Linked DNA regions of Neodiprion lecontei. The protein of the gene in region 2 purifies or fractionates together with the protein of the main gene of each other region. This does not show direct contact. Links are inferred from orthologs where the notes say so. Each region holds a gene or a part of one and is shown on either strand. Other genes may lie near its edges. The genes, in order: lysosome-associated membrane glycoprotein 1, transmembrane protein 192 and lysosomal aspartic protease.

What was found.
Region 1: the proteins of transmembrane protein 192 (region 2) and lysosome-associated membrane glycoprotein 1 purify together in Homo sapiens (affinity purification with mass spectrometry; 3 studies listed by BioGRID and IntAct, with this or other methods). This does not show direct contact. The link is inferred for Neodiprion lecontei from reciprocal best matches to the Homo sapiens genes TMEM192 and LAMP1.
Region 3: the proteins of transmembrane protein 192 (region 2) and lysosomal aspartic protease purify together in Homo sapiens (affinity purification with western blotting; 3 studies listed by BioGRID, with this or other methods). This does not show direct contact. The link is inferred for Neodiprion lecontei from reciprocal best matches to the Homo sapiens genes TMEM192 and CTSD.

Annotation. Positions count from the first base shown.
Region 1 is NC_060261.1:34,092,566-34,097,239, forward strand, and holds the start of lysosome-associated membrane glycoprotein 1, read left to right. Parts: upstream 1-2,165; 5' UTR 2,166-2,360; coding exon 2,361-2,412; intron 2,413-3,875; coding exon 3,876-4,159; intron 4,160-4,307; coding exon 4,308-4,536; intron 4,537-4,674. Other genes in the region: intraflagellar transport protein 80 homolog, read right to left, coding at 69-158, 291-469, 691-801, 860-1,038, 1,223-1,317. UniProt on the Homo sapiens protein: Lysosomal membrane glycoprotein which plays an important role in lysosome biogenesis, lysosomal pH regulation, autophagy and cholesterol homeostasis.
Region 2 is NC_060266.1:545,572-550,245, reverse strand, and holds transmembrane protein 192, read left to right. Parts: upstream 1-1,494; 5' UTR 1,495-1,825; coding exon 1,826-1,867; intron 1,868-1,990; coding exon 1,991-2,125; intron 2,126-2,260; coding exon 2,261-2,657; intron 2,658-2,770; coding exon 2,771-3,015; 3' UTR 3,016-3,768; downstream 3,769-4,674.
Region 3 is NC_060264.1:27,423,285-27,427,958, forward strand, and holds the start of lysosomal aspartic protease, read right to left. Parts: upstream 3,219-4,674; 5' UTR 3,050-3,218; coding exon 2,988-3,049; intron 1,696-2,987; coding exon 1,451-1,695; intron 1,062-1,450; coding exon 943-1,061; intron 807-942; coding exon 607-806; intron 441-606; coding exon 318-440; intron 1-317. Other genes in the region: cathepsin D, read right to left, coding at 3,792-3,941, 4,180-4,272, 4,410-4,584. UniProt on the Homo sapiens protein: Acid protease active in intracellular protein breakdown. Plays a role in APP processing following cleavage and activation by ADAM30 which leads to APP degradation.

The DNA.
Region 1 (4,674 bases), on a different chromosome or scaffold from region 2:
TTGGTAAAATAATGAAATTTTCCATAAATTATACATGAAACCTACTTGCATAATTTTAATATAATTACCTTATATCGACAGTCTTCACCAGCAGATACTATAAGCCCGTGTTTGTGGCTCCATGCAACAGCTAGAATCAGTCCATCATGTCCATGCCACTATCAGTAAATTTAAGAAATGCCCATTCAATTATTTAGTACTCAACTGAGAATATACCCTACTGTGGCCGCAGCTGACTCCAAACAGTTTATAGTGGTTAGTAATAGAACCACTAGTAATAGAAGCACTACCTTATGAGGTTTAGCATTTGTGTTGAAAAATTGAACCAAGAGGTGCGCACCCAGTGCATATAGAATTGAAGAACAGTCCGGACTCCATGCAGCACTTAAAGCTGGTTGTCTGCCTCTAGCCACTGTAGATCGAAGCATACCGCTGCGTGACCATATCTTCACAAGCCCATCTTCTCCTGCTGTAATTCATTATTGAGGATAAGTTTTAGAACTACGCATAGGACTATTGTTACAGAAAACATTGTGTGCCCGGCTGTTTCAGTGATTTAAGCAAACGATTATCTTAGATATGGCAGTCCTATTAAAAACGTGTGCAGTTTGAAGTTAACAAAAACAAAGTCACTGAATATTTTATTCTCACTGAATCATTTTGTATACTTGAATTTGTAAGTGACCTTACTCGTCATCAAGGCAGAACCGTCGTTGTTCCATTGGCCGACGAGTGTAGCTCCCTTGTGAGCCTCGACGCTTTTCTCTATTCGTCCATTTTTGTTAATCAAATGAAATTTACCTGTCAACAGAATTAACTTTTATTCTACAATTAAGTCTATTGAAGATAGTTGCATTACCATCAGCTGTTGTAATTAAGAGGATATCGAAAGATTGCTTTTTTGAAGACATACTCGGCTGCATAGGCCGAGGATGCCATTGCATATCCGTTGGGCAGAATTCAGATGGAAAAGTTGTAATTATTGATGAATGCACTGTGCCACCTTCCAGTCGCCAGCATAACAAGATATGGTCTTCACTGCAAGTTTGTGGAAATATGTTAAAATGGTACTTTGTCTGAATTTGAAAAACTATATTATTTTTAATAGGGAATGTATGCACGTGTGTATGTATTTGCGTTTGGGAATATATTATATACATGAATAAGTACATTCACAATGGAAAATAAAACGTCGTTTTGGACTGTGTGTTTGTATGCATACCCACAAGAATATATTTCTTCAGTAGAGTTCCAAGCTACACACGTGACTAAACCTTTATGTCCATTGGTATTTCGTAATGATATTTTAAATCGCATTGCTCTGGATAATATCTCACCCGTGACCAAAATGACAGAATGAGGCAAAGTGTAAGTATTGCGATCTTTGACGTTTCAGTTAATTGTAATTTTCAACGTTGCGTTGCCATTACGCGGGTACGTTGTCATGACAACCAACTTCACAGTGGGTGTATTCCAAAATATACTGGCAGTACTGCAAGTACTGGCAACCGCGTTACGAAATCGCGCGACAGCTTACTGCCGCCAGTTAGTGACGTCACGAAATTTATTGACATAATAAACTCGATTTAATGAGAAAACTTGAATTTTTTGTACAATGCGTGCATGGTTTATGCTCTGATCCACGCAAGTAACAGTAACGCATGTATTTAGCTGCCTAGTTCTTGACTAATAGGAATGCCAAGAAAATAAATAATTAGCATTCCACGCATATCTGGGTGCTTATTACGGATGTTCATTTTCCACATTTTCCACCACCTAAGCATTCTGATTGGGTTGCAAAATGTAGTCAAACAATCAGAATGCGTAATAATGCCACAGATCTCTATTAGATTAGTGGGTAACGCTAAAGTCAGGTCTGTAAGGCCGACTCTAGGGTAGCGCTTCTCTGCCGAATTGGCATTCCTATTAGTCAAAATACTACAGCAGCATTTTGCTGTCTATAAAAATTTAGCTAACAACGGAAAACTACAGATTGTGCGTCTATGTAATTTCACGACATATTTCGGAGTCTAACTGTTGGACGTGTCCGACAGTGTTCGTTAGGACGTCACAGGCCTGGAACGATCGTCACAGCCGTTATTAGTCACATACCTATATGTATATACTACAGTAAAAACTGATCAGTTTGGGGACATAAATCCGTAAGCTGTGGAGACTGGTTTTTTCTTCATAGTCAACTTTATTTTGCAGTTTACCGAGTTTACGCCATTCGAGTACCTATGGTTGAACTTGTTCGGAAAGTTCCGCATTGTTTGAGATTTGCATTTTATAAGATATTCGAGTGAATATCAGTGCTGAAGTAAATAGTTCCTGGAAATTTATTATCGTTGTATTTAGAAATGTTCCAAACCGCCTTGTTTCTTCTCTGCTCGGTGGCAGTACTGCATTCAGGTAATGTCGGAATTTTATTTCAGAAGGATTTCCGAGTTCTTTACAAATCCTTGCAATGGCAGATGATCGATGTTATCGTTTCGTGACGTTGCATTATTGTTTGATGTGACAGCTCACACAAGAGTTAGCCGTGATGAATTTATGCCATCTTGTACAATTACTAATTTCCAATCTCTGAATACTGATTCAGAGCTATGTCCATCTATATGACTGTACTTTACTCCGTCTTGTTTAAAATATTTCTTTGGAAAAACAACATTGTCAACTTCTGCTAATCTGAATATTGCTACACATCTTTGCTCAATATCAATTCTTTACGTATTCAAGATTACAAATAACTTTTTTCCCCTCAACTTTGGCAGAATGCTGAATTAGTTTGTTAATCTCCTTTTCACATAAATCGATCATTAACAAAGAGAATATTTACTTCAACATTTTAAAATGTCTGATGTGATTAATAGTATTTATCTTTTCCAAGTTGGAGCATGATATTTTTTATTGTATGATGTTTGCCCAATCAGTTTTGAACAATAAGATATTAACTATACCCTGAAGTCTAAGGACAGTCCAAATCGGTTTCAAATCGAAAGAACAATCCAATATCAAAAGTATGCTTACACAAATTTAAGTATTTGAAAGTCTGGTTGAGAGACACTGTGAGGTCTGCAGATCAAATTTCACTGTTAACAGTGGATATACTTACAATATGATAACCTTCAATGTAAATATAATGGATACTGTTGACTTATGTCTTGAAAACATCCCAATGAATTATGGATAAAGCTATTTATTCATCACATTTTTTTATGCACGCATTACATGCATATCTACATAAACAATTTCATATTAATACTTCAGGTCATTAAGTACAGTACATTATACACTGTGAGTCAAGTCAGTTGCTTATCTGAAACAAGTGATAGCAATATGTGAAACCAGAACTTCCTTAGTGATATTGAATCCTCTAAAACAAAGAGCGAGCTATTCTGCTCTCAACAGGCCAGTATACATAGTCAGTTCTTATTTGCAAGATGAAATGAATCCTTTCTTAACCTTTAGAGGACTGGTATTTTTCTCTTGAAATTCGATATTTTTTAGAGGCATGTTTTATGTATGTAAATAGTTAATACCTCCCGTGGAGTCTCGTAGTTATGCTGGTTCCAAAAAGAGTCAGGTCGGCCTCTAAAGGTCAAGCCATTCTTGAAAATAAATGATGACTAAAGACCACAACAGACATATAAATCCCAGCCAACATTCAACTACCAACAATTTGATTGTTCATAATCTGCATTTTATTGACAAAGTATGTATGTTTTACTATAAAATAAACGATCCTCAACCTGTATTTCTTACAACAAAATTTTATAAGGTAAAGATATGTAAGTTAGGTAAAATTGAACACAAATCAGTCACAGAAAAAACCCATACTTATTTGTAACTCAATTCAGTTTTAATTTTCTCAGGTGCAGAAACTGTTCCAACAAGTAGTTCTATTGACACGAACAGCCTCGTGGCCAGCTCTACTGAAAACACAAATCAACCTACCAATGGAACTACAATTTTCTCATCATCGGTTACACCAATTCCAACCGAAACAACTTCAGTTATGCCTACACCAACGACCACACCTACACCTGTGCCAACTCCAGAAATAGGAAAATGGATCGTCAATGAGACTAACGAAACTTGTATTATAGTAAAGATGGCTGTTCAGTTTAATGTTACATACATCACAACCGATCACAAGGTCTGTGCTAATCTCAGATAGAAACAGATATTGATCAAAATGAAGCATAGTATTCACAGATCAGTAGACCATGTGTTATGATGAAATTATTCTTTCAACCTAATCCTTACTACAATTTGTCTATAATACGTAAATTATATTTTTACAGAGTGACTTTCTTGTACTGGATCTACCTGTTAATGAAACTCAAGTCAAAGGCGTATGCGGTGCTTCAAAAGACATTGAACAGAATATTACGATTTCATGGCTCACAACTCCCAACAGTACCACTCAAAATAATCTGACCCTTCATTTCAGAAAGAATATAACAAAAAATCAATATAGTCTTCACGATTTGCAAGTAGATCTTGCACCTGAAAACTTTCCCTACCTTACCAGTGAGTTGGTTATCTTTTTCTGTCTATTCATACGTTTAGGAGAGATAAATTTAGTTTCTTATTGATAGATATTGAGACTTTAAAGGCAACAAAATTTACATCAATAATGTGGAAAAATGTTACAGGTAGGTCAAAATC
Region 2 (4,674 bases):
CCTTCGAAGTTTCGGTACGTTTTGCCCCCATTTGTCCCGAGACACCTTTATCCGACGACTTCTTCGATGGTGTTTTAGCACCCTCCGCAGGTTCCACAGTGACAGTGTTGGCATCTCTTTTCGAACAAACGACAACTTGTAGAGCCACGTCCGCGAACAGTCGGTCTTGTATAGCCTCGCAAATTCCGCAGCCGATATTCTTCCGGGTGATCGGGCTTTTATCCTCGGGGATTTTACCTCGATCCCGTACTTCGTTACCTGAGCGGTATTTCAATTCCGAAAGTCGGTTGTAACCGTCGTTCGGTGCCCCTGCCGCCGGGTCGCCGATGGAGGAATTGGGATAGGCGTTGACGTGAATTTCCCCAGCATACAAAGTTCCGTTTCCGCAACTACGACGGTTCATTCCTTGATTCGTGCACAGCTCGCAACACGCGCCGGCGTCAAGGAACCATTTTTTCTCCCGAAAAACTTGGAAATCTACGTCTTCACCGGTCGCTGAGGTACGAGTCGATTTTCTAAGCTGATTGCACTTGGAAACGCAGGTGCTGCGCTTCCACGGCTCCCAGGTCTGAACGGAAGTCTCTCGGGCATTGGTCCGTTTACAAGTTATGAAATACCATTCGTTCGACAATTTGCAGCCCCGGGACGGTTGCCGCTGACAGCCGTCCTCCTTGCTCTTTCGGTAATCTCGCTCCGACGTATCCGAGCCTCGGATACGGTCGTTCGTTTCCTGGGCTGCATCAATTACACCTCGTTGCACCGATGACGACGAGTGTTCGGAGAAATGTTGCATCGTCGCAGAGGAAAGCGGAATTTAACCCCATCGACTTATACGATTTAACGCGAAAATGCGGTCAGGATTCGTAGCGTAATAAAAGTCCTTTCGGAGTAACGTGCTTGGGTAGGATTTATCTGACAACAGTTGATTTGATGTTTCATTTTTAGTTTTATTTTCTATATTTTAACTTGAAACACTGCCGAGTTTTGAGGTTTTCCTTATATTCTGGCGATCACCCCGGTGACATCTTGTCGCCGTTTTCTCTTGTCGCTCCGTTTTTTTGTTTTTTTTTCCTTCCAAACAGCGAAAACCCAGCATATACATCGGAGACGCGACAAAAATTATTCCTCGGTCATCCATCGCGATTCGTGATAGTGCATAAGTTTGGCATTCTTGAGTGCATTATTTTTTAACCATTAATTACCCCTACTGTTCTGTTATACTACGATTACTCACAAAAAACATTAACAACTACGAACAACCAAAGGTACAATCATTTTGAAATAGCGAAAACCCAAGTGCCGTCTGCGCGCATCAGCCTTTACAATGAGATGTTATTGAAATTTTGAACTTTGGCGGGCTTCGCCTGACGAGAATGCTCGTCGTCTGCTCTCGATGCCATTGTGATTGGAGCGACACTTGAATCGCTTATTCCGTGGTTCCAAAGTCCGTGGCTTGTCACACGAGTGGTTGTAAACTCATCGGGGAAACGGCTGATCGCGGCTGATCTGATCTCATCTCTCAAGTTCCGACCGACGATCCGTCATCGAACGTTGATTGATACCTGTACCCCCGTCGTCCCTGTTCGATCATCGATCTTTCAGTCGTAAGACTATCGTTCGCGCGATGTAATATCGCGGCTGCAATAACGTTCCCGCAGTTGCGACAAACGTTGGGGGATCATAGGCGCGTGTTATTGCTAGCGCAACTCCGAGGAATGCATCGGCACACGTGTGGTGGCAGTCCCTTCCGATCGCTAGAGCGCGAGGCAGATAAAGACGGGCGATCTTTCGCTTGAAATCCTTCACATACCAGGCTCGTCGGGGAATGGTCAGCCTCGTGCGTGATCGGCCGAACACTTCTGGAAGCGTAAGTGAGGCAATGACCAATCATGGCTGATGGTTCAGCTAGTGTCGTACTCTCCGAGTTCGCGGAAAAGCCGACCCAGCCCTAACCTCAATATCGCCTTTATGATATTTTCGTTCGTTGAAGGGCGCCGTATTTTTTGCCGCTTCTATGAACATGGACGACGACGAATATCTGCAACCTGTTATCACCTCGCAGGAGGAAGACAACTTTCACAAATTGGACACGATCCCGTACACTTTAGTCGCCCTCGTATTTGGCGTGAGTAAAATATCATAACCTCGTTCTTGGTGTTCTTTTGTAACTCCTCGGGTGACGTAGAAAAACCTAACCGAAGTTCGAAAGTTGAGTAATTTGCGACATATACGCATTACGTACGAATTTAATTATTCTTAGGTTGCCTTGGAAATAACTGGGATAGCCTTTATCTCGTTCTGGCCTGAGGAATCAAACAAATGCGACACATATTTCGTACTATTGTATCTCCACTGCGCCTACTGGCTCCTGGTAATGCTGCTCGATCATATTCTCAAATCGAAACATCATCATTTGAGGATAAGCGGCTACTTGGACTTCTATCAGTCGACTTACCCGCACATAAGGGCTCCGTTTTTCGTCGCCTCACTTTGGAACGTTGCTTACCTTTTGCTCGCAACAATCCTACATCATACGCACAAAATGGACTATGAGAAATACTGCAGAGCTTCGGAGTGGCTTACGCCGATGAACTACATATTGCTTCTCACCACTTTGGAGCTTTCGATAATCGTTCCTGTCTACGTCAATTATATCAGTAAGCCCGGCGGATTGTTAGTTTGCGTCGAAGATGATACCGAAAAAATAAGATGCCTACCATTTCTTGTATCAAATTGATATAACTAACGGAGGGCCGCGTTCACATTCTAGGACGAGTTAGGCGCTTCAATCGATTGAGACCACCACCAGATGTCACCCGTGAGGAATGGCTGTCGTCGTTCACCCAAGACTCGTACGCCGGTGGCGGGGAGGTTGGCTGTCAGCAGAAGGGATCGAACTTGGCTGAATTACTCGAGAAGCAAGCCGATCTGATTAGGTACTTGCGCGATCACAATGTTAAACTCAGCCACAGGATGATGATGCTCGCGGACCAACGGAGACCCAGAGAGCCGTAATTGGCAATTTGTTCCTTCCTTCATGCGCGGTCGTATGATATGATGTTTGATGAATTTATATAATTTCGTTGCTTATATACTAATAACGAAACAATGTTTTTCCACAAAAATCGCCACTTCTTCTGTAGCGACGATCGTTCACTGCCGACAAACGAGTTGTCGGCAGCAAGTGGACGTTGTTGCCGACTGTTGTGTAAATGAACTTACTCAGCTTTGTCGCGAATTCGTTGAAAAATTTTGTGGTGGCAGTGTTAAATTTCCATCAGAGTGTTTCAAAATTTTCTTCGACATGTCGTTGGTTCTAAGAAGATCGTGTCAATACCAATCCTCGACTTTTCCTCTCCCAGTTATCGTTGCCGCTCCTATGAGAACTGCAAGTGTCGAACGTTCTGCTGCTATCTTCTTCTGAAGATTTTTTGTCGCGTGAAGGTTTCCTGACATGTAATTGTTACCCAATTAACTGAATTAATTGATGATAGTAACTTTTTCCCCTTGCTTTGCCTCGAGTTTCATAGGTCTTCTGAATAGTTCCTGAAGTGGAAAATTTTGTAACAGCGAGTAGTCGACAATTTTTTATGTGTGATCAGATAATAATAATAATAATGTAATTCAAAATCGATACGGTATGTTGTTTCAAAGGCGCTTACGGCCATAACGCCCAAGAATATGAAATACTGAGAATAAGAGATTACTGTGATATCGCCGTGAATGTAAATTTTACCAATTTAATAAAGTACGTATCTATATTTTGAATCGATCGAACCAGTTACATTCAAAAACACACGATCACCGTGGTTCTCTCTTCACGTTCCTTGATGTTAGTACATCTCTGCTAAGCGTTACAGCAAAGTCACTGTCATAAGTTGACGTAGGATTAATTTATTCACATTTATTTCCAAAATCAATTCCTTGTAGGTATTACCTCAAATATACTATTTTACATATACTTTTCAATTAATGCCGTGTTTTTTTTTTTTTTTTTTTTTTTTTCCTCCACAAAAATTTCATTACAAAATTAATAAGGTGTATATCGCTAAAAATTATCACTAGTTTACAATATTTGGAACAATCATCATTATTATTATTGTTATTATTGTTGTTGTTGTTACTATTATTATTATTATTCTTTTATTACCTTGCATCGCAGTCTTTCTGAAATTCTTTGAAAAAGTTATTGCCAAAAGTACGTTATTCTCTACTACCTTTCACCTGAAGCCCGCCCTCTGTTTCCAAACTATATAAAATTATACAGGGATACGCAGTGTATCCCTGAAGGTCGTGTATATATACATACGTATAATATAGTATACGGTTTTTGCAGTTTCAACGTTAAAGCCTCACGAAGTTTCCCTATACATATAATTACTATGAATGTTTCTTCTCATCATGCTCGCAATCTCTATATACCGCTATAGTAAAGGTTATAAATTTTTTTTTTTATCTACCTTTTCTTCTTTTTCTCCTAATTTCGTCATTTAATATACTATACGAATATTACGGTGACACATTTGGTGTGCGAGTACATTTACGCGCTCGTTACTACTTTCCTCGTACTCGTAGCCGTCCTAACTTCTTGTTTCTATACCATACATGCTATATAACTTAATGCGGCTTGCCAACTAAGCGTTCTGACGTAAAATCAATGCCTCATACATGTCA
Region 3 (4,674 bases), on a different chromosome or scaffold from region 2:
ATCATCGTTTAAAATAGATTTTTCGCAACAAGTGTGGGTAATTTATTGCCTGACAAGGAAAAACTTTTCACTTCAACACTCTGTAAAATACAGGTTTTGATAACGTAGATAATCTGGAACAACCCTGAAAGCATTGACTAAAGATACGTAAACGAGGGGTAAAGATAAAATTGTTATTCTGATTATTGAGATCCCATAAGAACGCCGGTAATGAAGTGAACCTTGCAGTGCTTGCATGCCTACTGTCAGTCAACGATGAAAGTAGACCCTAAAAAGAAACATTACGCGATCGTGCATGATTTTTAATTAGTACGTACTTGTCCATTTTGAATTGCCAGTAGGCTTGACGGTCGACTGGAACGTACGTGAAATCACCAGTATAATGTTCGGGATCGGAACCGCCAAGAATCAATTCGCCACCAAGCTTCTGTGAAGCATCCCTACGGGAAAAAAAATTGAATGAATGCATAGATTGAAGAACAAATGAGTTAATAATATGAGGTTTTAAGGATCGGATTACTCGAATTTGGGGGTAGAAACGTGAAATACAATATTTTCGGTAGGCATAAGTGAATAAAATCTACTCAACTGTAGACATAGGCATACCTGTTCAAGTAGAAGCTGAAAACTGGTTGAGATATGAGACCCTGGTTCAGCATGTTGTTGAAAACTGGCGTCACTCCGTCGACTGAGATTCTTGGGTATGCCATTCCTAAAATTCCATCAAATTTGGCCGCCACAAATGCGAGCCCAGGCTCACTCATGGCTTCGGCAAACGTTTGTTTCTGAACGTCAACATTTCCGAACTGAAATATATTGAAAAATTCACGAGAAAAATTAATTTTTGAGGATAAGATATAGCAATACAAACTAAAAACAGACCACTGTATGGAAAAGGAAATGATAGACAATGATAATAGATAATATGTGTTGAATACTCACCGATACCACATCGGTGGATAAAAATCCGGAGAGACTCCCTGATCCGTAGCGAATTTCAAATTTGGTACCATTTGCCTGGTAGGTAGTTGATTTTTTGCTATCGTACTTGTTGTGAAGCACTGTAATTTGGCAAGTAAACAAATAAACAATGATGAAGATTCATTACGTGGTATTGAACGTAACTGATTGTGAAACAGATTAATCTTTAGAAATGATATCAGCCAATTTTTTTTATAAACTTATGAATATCATTGGTATTGCGTGGATTTAATTTCTGAATAAAGTTGTCGGCGTAAATCTGATAAGATCATTTGATCAGATTGCAAGATTTAACTAAGCGGCGATGACTTGTAAGAACTAAAGTCAGTGCTATTTAATTGGCAGGTGGTCAAGTAAATATTTATGATATATATAAATACACGCTAATACCTTCAACTTTAGCTTGGCAATATTGTCATTATTTATTATTTGTTTACAAGATGCAAATAAAGAGCGTACGCATACTTACAGCAAGCTATGTTTGTGTAGTGGCATTTTTTGGAGGGCACCCAGAGGTTGGATGAGCCAGTGTCAAATACGACACTGAACTGTTGGGGTGGGTTGCCAATCGTTATATAGCCGTAATATTGCGCATCCAAGTAATTCGACAGAGGTTCAGGAGTGGGACCACCGTACCGTAAACGGATTTGCTGCACTTCAGTACCAACAGATTGAAGCTTCCTTCTAGCACTTTGTGCTTTGTAGAGAGGAACTCTGTTGAATGAGCAAAAATTATACAATGGAAAATGACCATTCAAAACTGATTTTCGAACAAATTTCGGCTTCTGCATTTGTTCTTAATTCACGAAAAAAAAAATTGAGTAGATTGTTTTTTGGTTAAAAATTATGCAAATATTGAGGTCAGGAAACTTTGTGGAAATTTTAGTGCTTTTATTTTATTATATTGATTTGGAATAGAGTCAAAGATTCAATAAACAACGTCGTTTATAAATAAATATTACTGTTGTGAAGTATTATCATTTCTGCTCAGCAAGGAGGTCTGTAATTATCTAACTTATACGATACAGTTTCCACAGAAGTGAAAAATGAAACATAAGTAATAGATAACAGGAGAGAAAGCGAGGTGCAACCTCTAGAGGTCAATCTAAGTAAAGCATACATTCTATATGTATACGACGGCTGATAATATTGAGCAAACAAAATTCCAGAGGATAGTTACATCTACTCAAACGTGGACAGCTGATTTAAAAATCAGGCTAAGTCAGTATTCGTATTAACAATATATGTATCTCTGTACGTATAAATATAATGTATCCATTCGTAAATCACGTTGGACAAGCACGATTATTAATGGGAAATACAAAACTCAATGACAGATTCACGTTACATTTATTTCAGTAGTTTTCGAGCCTATATCTTAAAATAAATTGAAGTTTGGTTTAAAGGAAAGAACTTTTTTTGATGGGACGATCCAATCATAATAAATAGTTAATGTACACGCACTGCATGAGATTCGTATTATTCGAACACGGGAACAAAGGTTAATTTTTCAATGGGAAAATTGCAGTCTAGAAATGAATCATTTGGTTCGGACGTTTCTTTCTCTTTTTCTCTCTGTGTCAGAAAAGGATGTGCTCAATCCTTATTCATGCGTTGTTTAAAAGCAACAAGTTTCGATTCGAAGCCGATAATCCTCAAAATATGTGCATTTGCATTATTCATATTTTATGACGAGTCAGTTGCACGTGAGTTTTGTAAGTGTGGTTCCCAGTTGCTATAAATTTTCATCTATTAAGTTGTATTCTCGTAGCAGTACTGATATATGTATATCCGCCAGGCGGTGCCAAAAAGCCACAAAGTCAATTGCCTCTGTAGCAGATAAAACCCCGTTAACAATGGACGAGATAATGAGTAGAAATATTATATTGCGAAAATACAAATATAGCAGGATACGTAATAAAGGTGAAATTGACCTGAAATATCTTTCTAACGGCCATAGATTATTCCCGTTACTTATTTTCAATGATATTCTAATATTGCTTTACCTGACTAGATCTCCGCTGACAAGAGCAACTGCCGCAGCCACCCATAAAATAATTCGCCACATATCGGCGCCGTTGATGTTGAAAAACGTTGATTCGACTTCACCGTGGACTAGTGGAACAGCGGATCAATTCGCGTACGCGGGAGACAAAGTCTCGGTTTAATATGTGCGTAAAACTTGGACGAACGGTAGATGTCGGCGTCAAAACGATGACAAATAATATTGAAGATCGGTTGTTTCCGCTCCCTCCCGACTCCCGACCCCTGATTCTGACGTCGATATCGCAACAGTGCCGACAATCGAGAATTCACCGTCTCGATTCTTTTCGAGGCAATCACTCGATGTTCCGCATCGTTCGATATAAGCGAGTCGATTGCACACAGCGATAGATCGTAGCTTTGGAGGGAAATTTAAAGTTTGCATTGCTGATCTTCGCCTTTGATACGTGACACAGCGTAATGCAGATGTTTCACACGGGTAAATTTTATTATTTTTCGACCGTAGGTACACATACATTATTTGAGAAAAATTAAAATTTGTATAAACATTATAAAAGGAACTTATGCGCGATTATTTTTATATAAACGTACGTTGACGGAAAAATATAAAGACTGTCAACCCTGGGATAACTTTCGTTACCAGTATTCGACGGGTAAGTGAGGCTGGAGCCATAAGAAGCCTAGTTAGCGATTTGGTAATTTCTTTGTCCGCGGGAGCTGTTTAACACGCAATCCCATACGACATATAAAACCCCATTAGGTTCACAGTCTTTGAGAGTCTTCAGTCAACTATACATATTATGTCTTTAGAATTTAGTTTTTCCGATTGTCACTTGACCGTGATCAAAATTGTACTCTGTATAAAATTCCATTAAAAATGCTCCGCCTAGTTGCCAAAACTTCTCATCGCTCGGTACAAATGGTGATAGGCATATTTCCAAACTTTCGTATGTTAGCTGGAAAGTCACAATCAAAATTATTAAAATAAGATGGTTCCATTCAAAAACTTCGTTTGGTATTTCTCATAGTGAAATAAGTAATAATACAAACACTAACCTTTTCACAGTTTTCCTTTTCTAGATATCATATACAAATGAAGCTCATACAGTCATTTTTCGTTTTTTAAGTACTTACTGACCGGTATAGGTGTGAAAATCAAAAAAAAAATCTCATAAAGTTATAGCGTATACTCACATGTTGAACGTAGTACTTTGAATTGATGGTGAAGGTCTTTTCAGCTATTACGAAGTTGATCGGTGGTAATTTTGCAAATTCCCTGCAGTTCACCTGATGCAGTGTAGGTGATACAGCACGCAAAAAATCACATTCATTAAATTTTTATGACACAAACTTAGCTGTCACTTATTTATAGGAGTCTAGAAATCCCTGTACAGTTCGAAAAAATAATATCTACGCCATATTACCATGTATCTGTCCATTTTGAAAATCGCTGGCACGAATGATCTGGCACCTAGCAGGTCGTTTATTAACTGAATTTCGTCCCTTGGCCCGACTATTGTGTTTGTGCTACTATCCAAAAGGGCTTCACAGCCATCCTTGCAAAATGGATGAGACTTATCCCTAACATCTATAACCATTCTGCAAGAATCAAAACGAACCTTGTTATCGTTTTTGTCCATTTATATTATGTATTCTCGAAATAAGCAAGAAGAAACTTATTACCATTCA